Coturnix japonica: one gene and its partner. The protein of the gene in region 2 interacts with the protein of the main gene of each other region in a pairwise test. Links are inferred from orthologs where the notes say so. Each region holds a gene or a part of one and is shown on either strand. Other genes may lie near its edges.

What was found.
Region 1: the proteins of MAP1A (region 2) and RHOB interact in a two-hybrid assay, tested with the Homo sapiens proteins (2 studies listed by BioGRID and IntAct). The link is inferred for Coturnix japonica from reciprocal best matches to the Homo sapiens genes MAP1A and RHOB.

The regions. Positions count from the first base shown.
Region 1 is NC_029518.1:92,811,184-92,815,683, reverse strand, and holds RHOB (rho-related GTP-binding protein RhoB), read right to left. Parts: upstream 2,834-4,500; 5' UTR 2,516-2,833; coding exon 1,925-2,515; 3' UTR 483-1,924; downstream 1-482. UniProt on the Homo sapiens protein: Mediates apoptosis in neoplastically transformed cells after DNA damage. Not essential for development but affects cell adhesion and growth factor signaling in transformed cells. Plays a negative role in tumorigenesis as deletion causes tumor formation.
Region 2 is NC_029525.1:18,382,000-18,386,426, forward strand, and holds the start of MAP1A (microtubule-associated protein 1A), read right to left. Parts: upstream 2,805-4,427; 5' UTR 2,788-2,804; coding exon 2,628-2,787; intron 1-2,627. UniProt on the Homo sapiens protein: Structural protein involved in the filamentous cross-bridging between microtubules and other skeletal elements.

The DNA of each region.
Region 1 (4,500 bases), on a different chromosome or scaffold from region 2:
GTTTTCTCTTTGGGGATGTTGAGATTATGACTTATCACTGCAGCCTAATGAGCTTGTAGGCAGTTGGTTTAAGGCAAAGGTTCCCCGTGCTGATTTTAATATCCCATGTTGGCATTGTGTGGAACAGTAGGATGTGTAAGATGTGGCTTCAGAGCTCTCTGCAAGGATGGGTGCTCTATGATCCCTTTGGGTCCCTCCCGACGCAGGATATTCTATGATACTGTGAGGGCGGCCCCTTTAAACATAACAAACTGAGGGTTTGAGTTCTGCTTTTGGTAAAAGATGTTTGTTTTAGGACCGAAAAACTGACTGTAGGATTTCCCAAAGGGAAATAAAACCCCCATAGCCCTGCAAGCTGCCTGACAGGTATCGTCAGCCAGAGGAGGAGGTACCATAATAGCACAGGGCAAACTCACACAGCTCACCAGCACTGGGCTCCAGCTCCAATGAGGGCAGCCCTGGAAATCACACCACCACCTTAATTCAGCATAGAATCTTTTAATACTTTACATTAAAAAAAAACCTGCATACACAGTTCATAGATTTATGTAAACATCATATACATCTCAGTTGTCGCCATGGCAAGTTCTTAAAAACAACAAACAGTCTCAGTACCACTGTTAAGGGAAGGAGAGAGAGGAAGGAAACAAACAAACAGGTAAATCTGTTCTCTGACCCAGAGAAACGCTGCATTATTTTCACCTGGGTCTGCTACCCAGCGAAAATAAGTTTTAAATAAACCTAAACTCTTTAATCTGCCCTTTAATATTAAAAGTCTGATGTACTCGATGCGTAAGGAACAGTGCTTTCATCTTTTTCCAAGGCAAAAAGAGATACAGTGATTTCCATTACTCGTGCCCAAGTCACAATGTACAACAAGGCCCAGATGAGGTTACCGAGGAAGAATGTTTCCAACGCTGCGGTGCTGAATGAAGATACAAACACATTGAGTAGCCAACAGAAATCCAAACTGTGCAAACTCACTTCAAAACAAGCGTTTAAATAAACCCAAATCAATGCATTCGCAGAAGACAACATGAAATGAAGGAGCAGGCACCAAGATCATCATATGGCAATAAGCTCCGTCCCCCTCGCTCCCTTGCCACATCCACCACCAGGATGGAGCAGCCCAGCTTTACTTCCCAGCCCAGTGACAATTCAAGGCTCATGTCAGCAGCAGGCATCGGTTGTGCTGGGCAAAGCGTTCCTTTGCACAATTATAAGTCCCAGCAGGGCACCCCCTCCCCACCTCACTTGAAATAAGCACCCCCTGCACTACCCCGGTTTGCACAAGACAGAAAAGTAAGATATATACAGGCTTTGCTTGGGATGAGCCTCCCCTCCCAGTCCAGGTCTTCAAGGCCAACTTGCACATCATGTCAGGTTCAGGCCAGAACACCTGCAGGAGACGTCAGGACGCCACAAGCAGCCCAAAAGATGCAGCCTGCTCCCCAGCTCGCCTGAGGGGAGGCACATGCACGCAGGAGGCAGAAGTCCCTTCCAGCATCTCAGCTCCACCGCTCTCCTCTTGCAAAAGAGAGGAGGCCGCCTGGGAGCCGGGAGCCGCAGGTGGTGGGCGCAGGCAGAGAGCTGGGTGCAATGTTTGCTCAGTCCAGTCTCAGCAGCTTCTTGTTTAGAGTCTATCAACTTGAAGGGGCCAGTGACGGGAGAACGCTCCTCCCCACCCGATTCCCAAGACTCAGGGCATGCAATCCCCACCCCCCCTCCCTCCGTCCCCGCGGCTGAGCCAGCACAACCCTTTACGGCTGAGGGAGCGTGCCCCTCCCTTAGTCCCCACCCCCATTCCCTGCGAGCCCCCAGCTGAGGGGACAGGCAGATGCCGTGTGCATGCGTGCCCCAGCTCCTCTCCGCCTGCCAACAGGTGACCCAGGCGCCGTGCCCGGCACCGAGCTCCAGCCTCACCCTATAGGACCTTGCAGCAATTGATGCAGCCGTTCTGAGTGCCGTAACGCTTCTGCAAGGCCGCCCGGGTGGCTGTTTCAAAGACCTCCCGGACACCCTCCTTGGTCTTGGCCGAGCACTCCAGGTAGTCGTAAGCCTGGATGCGGATGGCCATGGCGCGGCCATCCTCTGTGCGCACCGGCTCCTGCTTCATGCGGGCCAGCTCATTGCGAACGTGCTCATCGTTGCGCAGGTCTTTCTTGTTGGCCACCAGGATGATGGGGACGTTGGGGCAGAAGTGTTTGACTTCGGGCACCCACTTCTCCGGGATGTTCTCCAGAGAGTCCGGGCTGTCCACAGAGAAGCACATGAGGATCACGTCCGTATCTGGGTAGGACAGAGGGCGCAGGCGGTCGTAGTCCTCCTGGCCGGCCGTGTCCCACAGCGCCAGCTCCACCTGCTTGCCGTCCACCTCGATATCAGCCACGTAGTTCTCAAAGACGGTGGGCACGTAAACCTCGGGGAACTCGTCCTTGCTGAAGACGATGAGGAGGCAGGTCTTGCCGCAGGCTCCGTCCCCCACCACCACCAACTTCTTGCGGATGGCGGCCATGGCCAGGCTCGCCAAGCTGGCCTTGCCGTGCAGCAGGACGATGGCAGCGCCCTCCTCCCCGCGGCCGCCGCCTCCCGCTTCTTCTCGTTTCTCACAGGGCACCGTGGCGAGCCGGGCCCACGTAGGCAGCGAGCAGGCGGGCTACCCGAGCTGCCACCGCGTCTCCGTCCCCTGCCCCGGGGATACGATTCAGCCGCCGGTCCCGCCCGGCTCAGTCCAACTCTTCGCAAGGGAACGGCAGCAACAGCCGGCAAAGCACTAAAGGAAGCAGAAAGAACCAGCCCCGCTCCGCTCCGCACCGCCAATGCCGCAAGCTGAACGCCGGCACCGGTATTTAAAGGCTCTCCGACTTTCCTAATATAGCCAGCCAATGGGAAGGCAGGGAGTGAGGTCATCCCCGGCGGAGAGCGTCACGATTGGTCGAGCCCTGCGGGCGGGAGGCGGGGAGCGAGGGAGGAGGGGGCGGGAGGGCGGCGGGGCTGAGGGGAGCCGCGATGGGGGGAGGCTGAGGGCGGGCAGGGCCGGGGATGGGGCTGGTGGGGCTGGGCTGTGGTCAGGGCTGGGATGTGGTCAGGGCTGGGCTGTGTGGCTGAGGAGCTGAGGAGCAGGGCTGGGGGTTGTATGCTGGGTGCTGGGCCCCCACGGGAGCTCTGCGGCAGAGGCAGCCCCCGACGCGGCCCCTCCTGAGGGCAGCTCAGCTCCTGAGGGGATGGAAGCAGAGCAAGGCGGGAGGCACCTCCTGAACCCGCAGAGCTGAGGCGGTTTAATGCAAGAAAAGCCTTCGATTTCGGACACTCGGCTCAGCCCCGCTTCCCTTCCTCAGTGGAAACAGATCGTCACGCTTGAGAGTCTCTCCTTTGGCTTTTGGCCGGAAAAGGGCTGAGGAACTACTGCTGGAGATGGCTGGATGTGGGTCTGATCTTACTTTGCACCTTTCACACCTAATACATTCAAACCCAGGTCTGACAAAAGACTGTGAAAGTGTTACCCTTACGTTGGAACTGTGTTACACTTACGTTGGAACTGTCAGCAGGCTCCGTTTCATCCCTTTACATTTATCACTGCTCACAATTGCAGGCTCTTCCCATAACCCTGAATAAGTCACCTGCGTTGAAGTCTTCCTTCCCACGCTGGCATGTCCTTGTCATGGGGAGTGACTGGGGGAGCTGAGGCTGTTCAGTCTGGGGAAAAGGAGGCTGAGGGGAGACAATATTGCTCTAACTGAAAGGTGCTTACAGTGAGAGCGGGTGACAGGTGACAGGATGAAGGGAAATAGCCTCAAGTTGCACCAGGGCAAGTTTAGGTTGGATATTAGGAAGCACTTCTTTACAGAAAGGGTTGTTGAGCATTGGAATGGGCTCCCCATGGAGGTGGTTGGGTCACCATCCCTGGATGTGTTTAATTGCCGTTTGGATGCGGTGCTCAGGGACAGGATTGAGCAGAGGGTTGTTAGTGAGGGTGGTATGGTAAGGTTATGGTTGGACTCGATGATCTTTAAGGTCTTTTCCAACCAGAGCAATTCTGTGTTCATCACATCGTTATTGTCCCTACAGTATCACAAGCATGTGCACCCCTTCTAATGGGCAGCTGTAGTTCATTTGCTGCATAATGCAAATCTTGATGCGTTGTGCTGTTTTCCAGTTGCTCGGATCCCTTCGGAAGCGGCTGTCGTTCCTTTCGCCGGAGTTCGGTGCCCCCTGGTGGTCGCTCTGCAGCCGGCAATGCCCGGCCTGCTCCCAAGGCAGCTGCAGGGAGAAGCTCCGGGTGCCTTACAGCTCGTGGGAGGTGCTACTTAAAGATGCTTTTGAATTCGGTTTTATTTCTATTCCTTTTTATTCCCTGTTCGCTGCAAGGAAGTTGAACCAGACGACCTTTAATGCTGCCTTCCGATTCAAACGATGCCGTGATGAATCTATGATTTGACTTTTGGGGTTCATGAGGAGTCGTGGCTGAATATTTGATGTCCTTTCGTCAGCACAGCGCTT
Region 2 (4,427 bases):
CAGGAGTTAACCAGAGCTCCTCAGATCTCAGCCCTGGTATTTATTTTTAAGGTCCTTGTTGAGAGTTACTCCACCATTTTCTGAAGGTGTGCCCTCTCTGCCAAATCTCTGCCTTCTTTAGGAGTGAAGCATGTTCACTTTTCACAGATACTATCCCGGTTACCGCAGTTCTGGTTCTCCAGCACAGCAACCTGATGTTGCACAAGAGCTTCTGAAGGCTACTGGTGGAAAGCAGTATTTTCTAGGATACAAGCTCCAACGTTCAGCACAGATACAGGATGGAATCACCTGGTCACTGCACTGCACTTCAGTAGTCTCAAGAATTCACAGCAAATTGTGAAAATGTTTGTCTTAGGATTTTTTTTTCTGATGACAGCCAAAACCACGGAGTAATACAGTTGCACAACAGAGTACACAAAACAAACAAACATTAAGCCCTCTGAAAATCCAGAAACTTTCCACCACCTTCAGCACTGCAGAGCACCTATTTCTTTTAGGCTAGTGAAGGATAGCAACAAGTAAAATGCACAACAAAACAATAGCACAACAGGAAGGAAAAAGATGAAAAGACTGTTTTCCCATGAAATACTCTTGGAAAGCATGACAGATTAAGTTAGTGTCCAGTACAAGTGCCTCTTACTGCAGTGTCTGTAAGCATTTCCACCTGAGCAGGGCACAGCAGCACGCTGTAGGACACATCCTGCTGACTCGAGCTGCTGTGTCAGAGTCCTGGAGTCCAACTGCAGCAACTGATGCTATTAGAGGCACTTCTACTTCCTCCAGAATGCAGCCAAATATACTCTTTCAGAGCAAAGAAAAATGAAATTTTCCTTTCACTCATTATTGCCACAATTTATGCAATAGTTTTTTTCTTTTCCAGGCAGTCTAAAATCACTTCTTACCCATCCCCACCTGCCTGTTTCAATTTATGCCATTGTACAACAGCCAGAACAACGTCCTTGCTGATTAGCATCCTGTCTGCTGATGTAGGACTGCAGACTGTGCCATAACAGGGTTTCTAAGTGTGCATATTTTTCTTACATGCACAGATTGGGTAACATACCATGGGACTTGTCTGCTTCCCACCTCTTTCATTATACCCTTGTAATATTTTTTGTTGTTTTGTTGTTAATTTCCTGCCAAGATAATTGGGTTTTAAGATCAGGTATTTTCTTCTTATACTACTTCAAATAATATTTCAGATCAGGACAAAAGTTACACAGGAACAGAAGAATCAGACCAGTATTTGTTGGACATCGTTTTAGAATAGGTATTCAAGTGTGCCACAGATACAGTGACGTTGCATCAGGAGCAGTAAGGGTGGAAACGAGCAGGTTCCCCTGCAGTGTCCTATATGCGTTATTCAATTTCTTTGAATCAAGCTATAAGAAGAAAATGGGGAAAGTGAGTTTTCTGGTTCAGCCTGAACAAGGGATACATTCATTTACCCTCCACGAACCTCCTCCTGAGGTTTTGCTCAGGGAGGGCACAACAGCCAGAAGAACAAAGGCAAACCAAGAACTGTTTTATTCTTAAGACAAACCTATAAATAAAAACCTAGATGTGTAGCATGCAATGTTTTGGACCAGTTTTGCTTGCCATCAAGAAGCTGCTGCCAGGGGATGCTCGCCCACGTGCATCTGCACCCGATAGGACTCGGGAGGCACCCGGCAGAGCGCTGACCGCAGAACGGGGCTGCGCCGCTTACAGTCCGCACCTCAAAACCTGCATTTATCTTTCCTGGTACTTAAAACCAATTTACCCTGGAAATGGTGAGAAAGGAGAGAAGCACATACAAACTTTCCGGAGGTATTATTTCATTTTTACCGGTGTAGGACACCGCTGAGGACGGGACACCGTCTCTCCCACCTTTGAGGCGCTGATGTCACGATGGTCCGTCCTTAGAACCATTAGAAACAGCCACGAAGCTGCAGCCTCCGCCCCACCGGCGGGTGCCCGTCGCTTTATATAATACCACCTCCCCTGTACAGAGACGGACCTCTGCCAGGCCCCGGGCGCCGCCCCGGCACGGGGAGCACAACAGCGGCACAACAGCGGCACAACAGCGGAGCCCCGCGCAGCTCCTCGCCCTCCCGCTGCGGCTGCGCTTTGTCCTCCCGCAGGTCGCGGTCCCGCGGGTCGCTCCGCGCCCTCGCACTGCGGGGAGCTGCCCCGCACGACGGAGCCCGCAACGAGCCGAAGGTCGGGCAAGACGAAAACGAGCCCCGACCTGCGGAGCCACGAGGGAGGCGGGAAATGGGGGGAAACGTGCAGAACAGAGGGGAAAAAAGCACGTCTGTGCTCCGAACAGCCGCAGCGCTCAGCAGGGCCACGGCCACGCGAGCTCCATCCCCCCCCCGATCTGCAGCGCTCGGCTCCGCGCGGTGCCGCCCCGCAGAACGGAGCTCCCCGCGCATCACAACATCCCATCACATCACATCCCATCACATCACATCACATCCCATCCCGTCCCGTCCCATCCCATCCCGTCCCATCACATCCCGTCCCGTCCCACCGCCCGGGACGCCGCCCCTCCGTGCGGATGGCGGAGCTCTGCGGCAGCTCGGCGGCGGACGGCGAACGGCGGAGACCCCGTCACGGCGCGTCCCTCGTCCGCCGCTCCTCACCGCGCTCCAGGGCTCCTCGCAGCGCCCCGCGCTCCGACTCGGTTCCGACCGGTCCGATCACCGCCAGCAGCGCGTGTCTCCGCGCCGCCCCGCAGCGCGATGCGCCCGGCGGCCGGGGCGCTGCCGTCTCCATAGCGACCGGCACGGCCGTCGTCTCCATGGTAACGCGACGGCCGCCGCTGCAGCGCGCCGGGACTGGCGAGCGGCTCTTAAAGCGCCCCGAGCTCCGCCCCGGATGGACGCGCTGCGCCACTGCGGCCAACGGGGCGGGGACTGACGGCGCGGCTGGAAGGCAGAGCCGGTGGCAGAGCCGGTGTCAGAGCCGGTGGCAGGGACGGCTGGCGGCCCCACCGGGGAACGGTTCCCCTCCCGGGGGGTGGTTCTCTCTCCTCCCGTGGGACGGTTCTCCTCCCGCGCCGAGCCCGGGCCGCTCGGCGGAGCCTCGGCTCCGGTTCCCTGCAGCAGTCGGTGCCCCCCCTCGGGCCGCGCTCCGCCTGCTGGTGCTGTGCGCTCCGGCACCGAACCGCGACATGACAAGGGCGATCCTGGGCACGGCTCAGTTGACGCCGTCGGTCTGATTGAGAGTCACACAAACGTAAAACTCCACGTGGAGCTTTAAATGCCGGCTGCCACATAACCGCAATATCCACAGTGACGCCACAGGAGCCTGCGGTGTTAAGGGATGCTCAGGCTTCGCCATCGGCTTTTGTTCCTTCCTATCGGCTTCTTCCTTCTCTGTCCCTCCGAGGTGAACAGAGCACTGAGGTCTTGATCTCTTCTCGATGGCTCTTTTCCTCCTTCAGTTACAGACAAGTATGTTGGTACAGGAGATCCGGCTTCCGGAAACATAAAATAGAAGGTTAAAGCCCCTGATTTTTGTCTGCTCCTCAGGTACAACAGTGGTTGTGAGCGATCCTGCCGTGCCAATGGGGGCTGCTGGCGTCCAGGGTGCCAGGGAGGACAGATATGTGGTATGTGGCCGCACTTGAGCAGCCTGTTCTGGTCAGTCAGGGCTCTGGGATGCTCAGTGCGCCGTGTGGAAAAACTGAGCAAGCAGAACGTGAAACTTGATGCTGAAGGTGAGGAGCACTAGGAAGCAGCTTCGGGTAGGAAACTCCACGTCTCTTCTGACAAAGAAACTGCAATTTACCTTGTATTGGTGCAGCAGAGCAAAGAAACAAGACTGTCGTTGCAAAACAAGATTCAGGACAACAATAATCTGCAGTTTCTCAAAGCAGTGCCGAGCTGCGCCCCCTGCAGTGTGCAAGGCTCCCACAGCGCTGAGCTGCAGCAGAGGAGGCCGATGGTCGGACAGCGGGGTGCGGTGCTGCTGTGTTCCCTGGGGACCCACTGCTACACTCAGAAACATTAACACGGCGGAAGGGTGATACAGAGGTGTAACAGCAACGAGGCTCGCGCAGACAGAACGGTGTTTCAAACAAACAGTGCTCACCCATTTCTGCAGATCTGGGCTCACAAGAAAGTCTGCCCCGGAGGGAGATGTACAGGGGAAGGATTTCTGGTGGGAGCTGTCAGCCCTTCAGTGAGGTGCAGCCCGGCTCCAGCCCCTGCTGTCCCTCGGCTGAGTGCCTTCACCTGTGCTCCCAGGGGCTCAGTCAGTGGGTCGGCCGGGACTCAACAGTTCCCATACACCCACCGAGCCTGCCCTGCACACACAGCCAAACCTGCACAGGTTCCGAGGCGTTCTGGCACACCTGTGTGATTCTGGTGGCCTGTGCTGTTACCAGCCTCTCTGAGAAGATAATCAGGGAAAAAAAAAACAAAAACAGTCAAATACAG